2 linked regions of the Macaca mulatta genome follow. Each later gene encodes a partner of the first gene's protein in a complex. Links are inferred from orthologs where the notes say so. Each region holds a gene or a part of one and is shown on either strand. Other genes may lie near its edges.

The links.
Region 2: THOC2 (region 1) and CHTOP share a complex: the UniProt entries of both Homo sapiens proteins name them as parts of the transcription/export (TREX) complex. The link is inferred for Macaca mulatta from reciprocal best matches to the Homo sapiens genes THOC2 and CHTOP.

The regions. Positions count from the first base shown.
Region 1 is NC_133426.1:130,144,248-130,148,568, reverse strand, and holds the start of THOC2 (THO complex subunit 2), read left to right. Parts: upstream 1-1,431; 5' UTR 1,432-1,436; coding exon 1,437-1,507; intron 1,508-4,321. UniProt on the Homo sapiens protein: Component of the THO subcomplex of the TREX complex which is thought to couple mRNA transcription, processing and nuclear export, and which specifically associates with spliced mRNA and not with unspliced pre-mRNA.
Region 2 is NC_133406.1:113,398,794-113,403,112, forward strand, and holds the start of CHTOP (chromatin target of PRMT1 protein), read right to left. Parts: upstream 2,868-4,319; 5' UTR 2,652-2,867; intron 411-2,651; 5' UTR 394-410; coding exon 329-393; intron 1-328. UniProt on the Homo sapiens protein: Plays an important role in the ligand-dependent activation of estrogen receptor target genes. May play a role in the silencing of fetal globin genes.

The sequences.
Region 1 (4,321 bases):
TTCTTCCAGATTAATGGAGATGTGATAACTGATACGCAGTCAGAAAAATTTTTTTTTGTTGTTGCTATAACAAGCATTATGGAGGTGGGGTGGGAGCACATGTTGTCAGGACTTCCTGAGACTGTGTCATGAAAAAAAAAAAAAAGTATTATTGGGGTGAGCAGGGTGGCTCACGCCTGTAATGCTAGCATTTTGGGAGGCTGAGGTGGGCAGATCACTTGAGGCCAGGAGTTCCAGACCAGCCTGGACAATGTGGTGAAAAACTGTTTCTAGAAAAATACAAAAAATTTAGCAGAGCCTGGAGGTGTGCATCTGTAGTCACGGCAACTCAAGAGGCTAAGGTGGGAGGGTAGCTTGACCCCAGGCAGGTAGAGGCTGCAGTGAGCCATGATTGTGCCATTGCACTCCAGCCTGGGCGATAGAGTGAGACCCTGTCTCAAAAAAGAAAAGAAAAGAAAAGAAAAGAAAAAAAGATCAAATTTGAAATATCTGTAGATTAAGGAATAATACAGTGTTTTTTTTTTTTTTTTTTTTTTTTTTAAGATGAAGTCTCACTTTATTGCCCAGGCTGGAGTGCAGTGGCTCCATCATGGCTCACTGCAGCCTCCGCCTCCCGAATTTAAGCGATTTTCCTGCCTCAGCCTCCCGAGTAGCTGGGATTACAGGAGCGTGCCACCACGCCCGGCTAATTTTTGTATTTTTAGTAGAGGCGGGGTTTCACCATGTTGGCCAGGCTGGTCTCAAATTCCTGACCTCAGGTGGTCCACCTGCCTCGGCCTCCCAAAGTGTTGGGATTACAGGCGTGAGCCACCGTGCGCGGCCCATTTTGTTTTTCATGGTACTTAGTCCCTAGTTTAGCCTAAGGTAACAATGATAGCAGGCCAACGCAGCGTGTCAGAACTCGTGGATCCATGTTTCCCACGGTTAGGTCGTATCCCTCGCATTAGCGTAATGCTTGGCACACAGACAATGGCTACCACCTTCCCGATTATTTCCTTTTATCTCAGCAGTCAGCAGGGCGTAATGTAATTTATCTGCTTATATTTATGTCTTTCCCAAAGACTGTATTATTTCTCTATCCCCAGTGTCTAGCACATATTAGGTGCTTGAAAAATGCGTGTTTGTATTAGTGGTTGGGGTAGATACTATGGAAGAAGATAAGGTCTACTTGTTGGCCCGTGGATGGCATTTTTCTGTTCTAATGGAAAGGCTGAGGACTTCGGACGGCGCAGCCCGCGGAGTAACTTCGCAAAGGAGCCCGCGAGTCTCCACGTCGTTGGCTGCCGAGCCTCGGGTTTCCGCTGGGTGGGGAGGAAAGTGGGGCGGGAAATCGAAAAACGAACTCTCAGCTCCCGGCATTCCTCGTGGGCGGTGCTCCCCTTTGACCCTTCGCTCGCGTGCTACACATCCGGGCCTCTGCTACTAGTGAGAGGAAGATGGCGGCCGCGGCTGTGGTGGTTCCTGCAGAGTGGATAAAGAACTGGGAGAAATCAGGGAGAGGCGAATTGTGAGTGTTCGGGCCGGAGGCAGGCGCACTGCCGGGCCGGGCCAGGGCGTCAGCTGCACTCTCACCTGTGGTGGGAGGTTGGGGGGGGAAGATGTACCCCCTCCCCCACCCGGGCGGCGGGCGTGGATGGTCGGCTAGGAGTTTCGAACTCGGGGAGAGGTGCTGTTAACCGCCGCGGACCTCTTTCCTTCCCTGGCCTCCCAGAAATCGCTACTGCCTGCGGTAGCTCGGCTTTCTTTAGCCTCTTAGTAGAACTCCTGTTCCGCCCCTGCAGGTCTCTGCGCTCCCTCTTGGTCTCTTTTTGTGTCCCCCTTTTCGCTTGATCTCACTGGGCTCCTTTATCTTTATGGGGCTGCGCTGGGGCGATTCGGACTTTCCATCTCTCTCTGTCCCATTTCTTCACTCTGCACCCGTTGGACTCCGCAGTTTGGAGCTTGGCGCCTCCTCTGCCTGAAGTCCGAGGAGGGCGAACCGTCCCGGATTCCCTCCCCTCCTCTTCGCCCGCTGCCGCGAAGCCCGGGGCGCCGCGAAGAACCCGGTTTGGCACCTCTCGTCCTCCCGGGGAGCGGTCTCTTGACTGTCCCGGCCTCGCGTAGCGCCGTGGGGAAGTGTGGCAGGGATTGCCGCTTTCCCTGAAGAACTACAGACATTTCTTTGCTCCGTCTGTTCACCTTAGAGCTATTTAGGGTTGGATTTAACTTTCGTCATTAAATGTTCCCTAAACCCCATTTTATCCTGGGACTGCAACTAATTCTGGCAACTCTCCAAGCTTCTCGAGTACCTAGGATAACGCGTTTCCTTTAGTCGTGAAACTTTTCCCCCGTAACGCCGAAAACAGTAATTTGCCATACCCCTAGTCTTCTCGCCCCCACATTAGAGCGCTCCCTCCTCCCCTCTCCCTGAAAAAAGTCGTTTAAGCAGCAAAGCAAACCTCAGATTTAAGAAAACATATTAATAACAGCTTCTCATTTCCTTCTCTGGATCGCTTTTAGATGCTAACGCTCAACCCTGGATCAAATTAACTCTTGTTAGCCATTTTTGTCGTCCTTGCCCACCCCTCTCCATTTCTAGTAGCCAGTTTACCGTGGCTCATGCTAACGATTCAGATCTTTGTAACTTCATTACTTGGAACGAAACACGAGGAACGCGTTGCCGGATCCCGCGCTTGTAATAGTGCCAGCCTATGTGGCTTCCTCCCCCGCACCCCCCGCACTGCTGTATGAAGTCTTAACAGTGCGAGCGCTAGAATTCCCTAAATAAGCGGCTGTCTTAGCCACTTAACTAGCCGAGTGACCTTGGGTAAGTTCCTTAACCACTTGGACTGTTTCCCCTTGAGTAAATTGGGAATAATAAGTACTCTACTCAAAGGATTGTTGTGAAGACTAAATAATGCCTGTAAAGCACTTGGCTTATAGTAAGTGCTCAAGTGATAGCTATTAAAAGTAATATTATTCCAACCTTTAGATATTTAAACTTCTCAGGACAGCTCATGCACTTAAAGTCTGTACCACTCTGGTTAGCAATTAATTGGTCTCTGACTCCTTCATGTGTTTTTACTCTTGCACTGTAATGAATTGAGAGGCCCTTGAAAGATAGGGACTATGTCTCATATTTCTTTCGGTTCCACGCACGCCCACCCCCCCCCCCCCCAGCATATGCTTAGAGTGCTTATTGGTTTATTAATTGTCAGAGAAGACTATTTGATAAACCTTCGTTTTTAACTGTAATGAACATTTTACAAATCCTCGTACATGCTAGTTAACAAATAGCTATCAAGTTTGTTAGCTAGTTGACAAATAGCCATCACGTTTGATAGCTAGTTGACAAATAGCCATCAAGTTTGGGGAAGGCAAGATGGGAAGTTACCCAGCCAGACCATCATCTTCATCCATATTAGGGTAATCCACCAAAACTCGTAAAGCAATTCACTGTTTTGTTTACTTTTAAAGCCAGCTCATTTATTTAGGGGCTGTTATCTTTGTAGATGGCTCAGCTTCCTCCTTTCAGCTACTGTTTTTTGACAGTTTTGCTTTTCTTTTTTCCCCTTGAGACGGAGTCTCGCTCTGTCGCCCAGGCTGGCGTGCAGTGGCGCGATCTCGGCTCACTAACCGCTGCCTCCCGCGTTCAAGCGATTCTCCTGTCTCAGCCTCCCTGTCTCACCCTCCCGAGTAGCTGGGACTACAGGCACGTGCTACCACGCCCGGCTAAGTTTTTGTATTTTTAGTAGAGACGGAGTTTCACCGTGTTAGCCAGGATGGTCTCCATCTCCTGATCTCGTGATCCGCCCGCCTCGGCCTCCCAACAGTTTTACTGTTATTGCTCCCACCTTAGAATGAGTGGTATTAGGGCTACAAGGTGAAATTCTGCTTGGCTTCTGACTGGTAATGGTTGGAGAAAAAGTGATGTAGGAGGTCGAAATACCTAGAAAAAATGGAATTTTAGGTTCACATTATGTGTATTTATATAATACATGCTACCTGTCATAGTTCTTATATTTGAAGAGCTGCTTCAAAACTGTTATTAGAAGCCGGGTGAGGTGGCTCACGCCTGTAATACCAGCACATTGGGAGGCCGAGGTGGGTGGATCACCTGAGGTCAGGAGTTCGAGACCAGCCTGACCAACATGGAGAAACCCCGTCTCAACTAAAAGTACAAAATTAGCCAGGCGTGGTGGCACATGCCTGTAATCCCAGCTACTCGGGAGGCTGAGGCAGGAGAATCGATTGAACCCGGGAGGCGGAAGTGGCGGTGAGTTGAGATCGCAGCTGTCGCACTCCAGCCTGGGCAACAAGGGGAGCGAAACTCTTTTTCAAA
Region 2 (4,319 bases), on another chromosome or scaffold:
GCCTACTGTAGCCAGGGTACCATGCTACCGTGCTGCACGACCCCTGTATCAATGTAAAAAAATGTGAAAAGGGAGGGTGTTAGGAGTCTTTTAAAATACATCCCACCAAATAAATATTTCAGACAGCTTAACATAAAAGTCTACTGATAAGGGGTTTTGAAACAACCGCCCAATTTGTTTTGTGTACCACATGAGATGCAACTAAGAACAGAGGTCTGTAGCCTTCTGTTGGTATTTAGCTTAAAACTGGCTTTGTGCACTGGACCCCAGGGCCAAGTTAAGTAATGTTTTCTTAGGAAGGAGCTGAAGTTGCTGTTGGCTGCCTCACCGCTCATTTAGAGACATCTTGGTGGTGCTTTTTAGCACAACTTTCGGCGCTGACTGTGCAGCCATCTTCAAATCCCGAGAATCTACAAAGGACAATACGTAAAATGAGCAAATCACAATAGTGACCACATCATTTCTATAAGTGGCAAGGCCCAAGTCAACAATAAATAAAAAGGCCTTATCACTGATGACTTAAGAGCACATGAGGGCACATTTCAAGTGCTTAAATTTCTTTTTCTTTTTTTTTTTTTTTTTTGAGAGAGGGTCTTACTCTGTCACTCAGGCTGGAATGCAGTGGCATGATCTTGGCTGCAGTGGCTCACGGCAGCTGTAATCTCCTGGCCTCAAAGGATGTTCCCACCTTGGCCTCCCAGTGCTGGGATCACAGACATGAGGTGTCATGCCCAGCAAAAGTGCAAAAGTGCTTAAATTTCTATGGCAGTTACCTCACATTACTGTAACTTCAAGGTGGCTGGGCGTGGTGGTTCACCACCTGTAATCCTAACACTTTGGGAGGGTGAGGGCACAGGATGGTTTGAAGCCAGGAGTTAGAGATCAGCTTGGGTAACAAAGTGAGACCGAGTCTCTACTAAGAAAATAAATAAATAAATAAATAGCAGTGCATGGTGGCCAGCACCTGTGGTCCTAGCTACTCAGGGGGAGCTGATGTGGGAGAAGTGCTACAGCCCAGGGGTTGGAGGCTGCAAAGAGCTGTGATGACGCCACTGCACTCCAGCCTGAGAGAGACCCCATCTCTTTAAAACAACCAACCAACCCCAAACAAACTCCAAGGCCCAGAAAATACCCAGGAAATTCTCAAAAACGGCAGAACCCAATTTAGCAATCAAAGTATGGAGTCTGGCCTTTTTTTTTTTTTTTTTTTTTTTTTGAGACGGAATCTCACTCTCTCGCCCAAGCTGGAGTGCAGTGGTGCGATCTCGGTTCACTGCAACCTCTGCCTCCTGGTGCAACCGATTCTCCTGCTTCAGCCTCCTGAGTAGCTGGGACTACAGGCATGTGCCACCACGCCAGGCGAATTGTTTTTGTATTTTTAGTAGAGACGGGGTTTCTCCACGTAGGCTAGGGTGGTCTTGAGCTCCTGACCTCACCCGATCCACCCACCTGGGCCTCCCAAAGTGCTGGGATTACAGGCGTGAGCCACCGCGCCCGGTCGAGTTTGGCTTTTTCTCTAGAGCAGTCATTTTCAACCTTGACTACATATGACTTATCCAAGGAGCTTTCAAAGGGCGCGGTGGCTCACGCCTGTAATCTCAGCACCTTGGGAGGCCAAGGTGGGCGGAATGCTTGAGCCCTAGAGCTCAAGACCAGCCTGGGCGACATGGCAAGACCCCGTTTCCATAAAAATATAAATTAATTAAAAAAATAAAAAATACAGGTATCTGGGCCTAGATCAATTAAACCACAATCTCTAGTAACGAGGTTTGGAAATGAACAATTGTGGGGTGGAGGGAAAGCTACCTAGGTGCTTCTAGCGTGCAGTTAAAGTTGAAAACTACTGATCTAGAGTGAAAATATAGGCAGGGCCGGGCGCGGTGGCTCACGCCTGTTTTCCCAGCACTCTGGGAGGCCGAGACGGGCGGATCACCTGAGGTTGGGAGTTCGAGACCAGCCTGACCATCATGGAGAAACCCCGTCTTTACTAAATATACAAAATTAGCTGGGCGTAGTGGCGCATGGCTGTAATCCCAGCTACTCGGGAGTCTGAGGCAGGAGAATCGCTTGAACTCGGGAGGCGGAAGCTGTGGTGAGCTGAGATCGTGCCACTGCACTCCAGCCTGGGCAAAAAGAGCGACACTCCGTCTCAAAAAAAAAAAAAAAAAAAAAAAAAAGCCTAGTTTAAAAATTGGCTTTCAACTCCAGAATCAAGTAGAGACTTTTGTAACAATAAACTAATGATCTCGGGGAGTGCGTAGGAAAGGTTTTCTAAATTCACCTGGGGAATGAGCTCGCAAAGAGCCCTCCACAAAACTTAACCCTAAAGCCGCCATTAATTTCCAACATTCCTCAAAGTCTTGTATTTCTTAATCTCCCTACCATCCTCAAAGCCCTATCAAGACTTCCACTTTTGCTCAACCCAAGTTTCCTTTTAATCCCTATCAAACCCCAACCTCCATCAGTCCCGCCACCAGGTTCCAGTTCAGCCCCTCCCCCGCCCCTTCGCAGGGGCTCCGCCTCCTCCCCCGGGCCTCCACGCTCCAACACCGTAGCTGTGTCCACATGCCACCACCCCCTTTCCGCGTCCGCCAGCCCCTTCCGCTCCCCAAGACCCCGCCACCCCGCTCCTTCTCCCTACAGAAACTCACCGAAGGAAACAGACGCCAGTGCTCCTCCCGGGGCTGCCACCACGGCTCCGGCAGGCGGGCCGGGGACCGGCCGAACCTGAGTTGACGGTGGAGGGGCTCGGGTTAGCTAGATGGGCGGTTGGTCAGATGCGTAAGCGGTAGTATGCGAGCTCAGTTCGTTGTTGCTGGTTGGCTGTCTAGCCGGCCGATCCGTCTGCTCACCCGGCCTGCCCTTTCTTGCCTTTCGTCTGCAGCGGCCGCCAGCTCCGGCTCGGTGTCCAAAACAAAATGGCCGCCACATGCAGTGCTTGTGGGACCGGCTAAAATGGCGTCTACGCCATTACGTCAGGCGTCAGATCCGCTCACGACTAGAGGGCGTGAAAGATTTGAGCTACGCCTGCGCAGGGATCAGAGGCGGAGCCTTAGGGTGAACTTCAGCAAACTTTACCTTAGCGGTATAAGCAGTGCCCCGCCCCCTGGGGGCGTGACAATGGCCCTATCGGGGCGTGCCGGGACTTCAAGTTCCCGTAGTGGTTAAGCTGCAACCTCCTGGGTTACTAGTTAGTAATCAGGGTCTTAGAGGGGATTTGGGTTCCGAATTCCCTTGCCCCTCTGTTCCTTAGGCAAGGTGCATCGTCTAAAAATCTTTACGCGGACTTGCCTCGTCTTCTTCCGGACAACTGGGCCTGGGGAATTTGCACTGGTTTTCCCCTCATGGCCAGTCGCCCAGTCTGAGAGTTGTAAAGTGCCGTAAATGCTCCCGCCAAGGCCCAGGAGGCCAGTATTGGGAGCACATTCCTCTCCCATCCTGCGCTGGCCAACACCACCGCCCGTCCATGTTTTCCTCTTCACTTCCTCCCCTTCCCAACTTGGCCTAAATACTGTTTAATCCTTCTTGCGGGGGGTGCACCTTTGCGTCCTCGATTGCGCTTCCATGTCCTCCCTCCACACCTGCCATCCGTGTTTATTTTGTGGCAGACCTACATAGGGATTTCTCTTTTCTCGCTTTTTGATTTGTTGTTGTTGTTGTTTTGAGACGGGGTCTGGCTCTGTTGTCCAAGCTGGAGTCAGTGGCGCAATCAATCACGGATCACTGCAGCCTTGACCTCCTGGGCTCAGGTGATCCTCTCACCTCAGCCTCCCGAGTCCTAGGATTATAGGCATGAGCTATGTGTCCTGCTCAATTAAGGGATTTTTCTTTCTTTCTTTCTTTCTTTTTTTTCTTTTTGCAGATGGAGTCTCGCTCTATCACCCAGGCTGGAGTGTAGTGGTACCATCTCGGCTCACTGCAACCTCCGCCTCCCAGGTTCAAGCGATTCTCCTGCCTCAGCCTCCTGAGTAGCTGGAATTACAGGCGCGTGCCACCACGCCCTGCTAATTTTTGTATTTTTAGTAGAGATGGGATTTCACCAGGCTGGTCGCTAACTCCTGACCTCGAGTGATCTGCCCACCTCTGTGTCCCAAAGTGCTGGGACTACAGTCGTGAGCCACCATGCCCGGCCTCAATAAGGGATTTTTCTTTTTTTTTTTTTTTCTTTCTTTTTTTTTTGAGACGGAGTCTCGCGCTGTCGCCCAGGCTGGAGTGCAGTGGCCGGATCTCAGCTCACTGCAAGCTCCGCCTCCCGGGTTTACGCCATTCTCCTGCCTCAGCCTCCGGAGTAGCTGGGACTACAGGCACCCACCACCTCG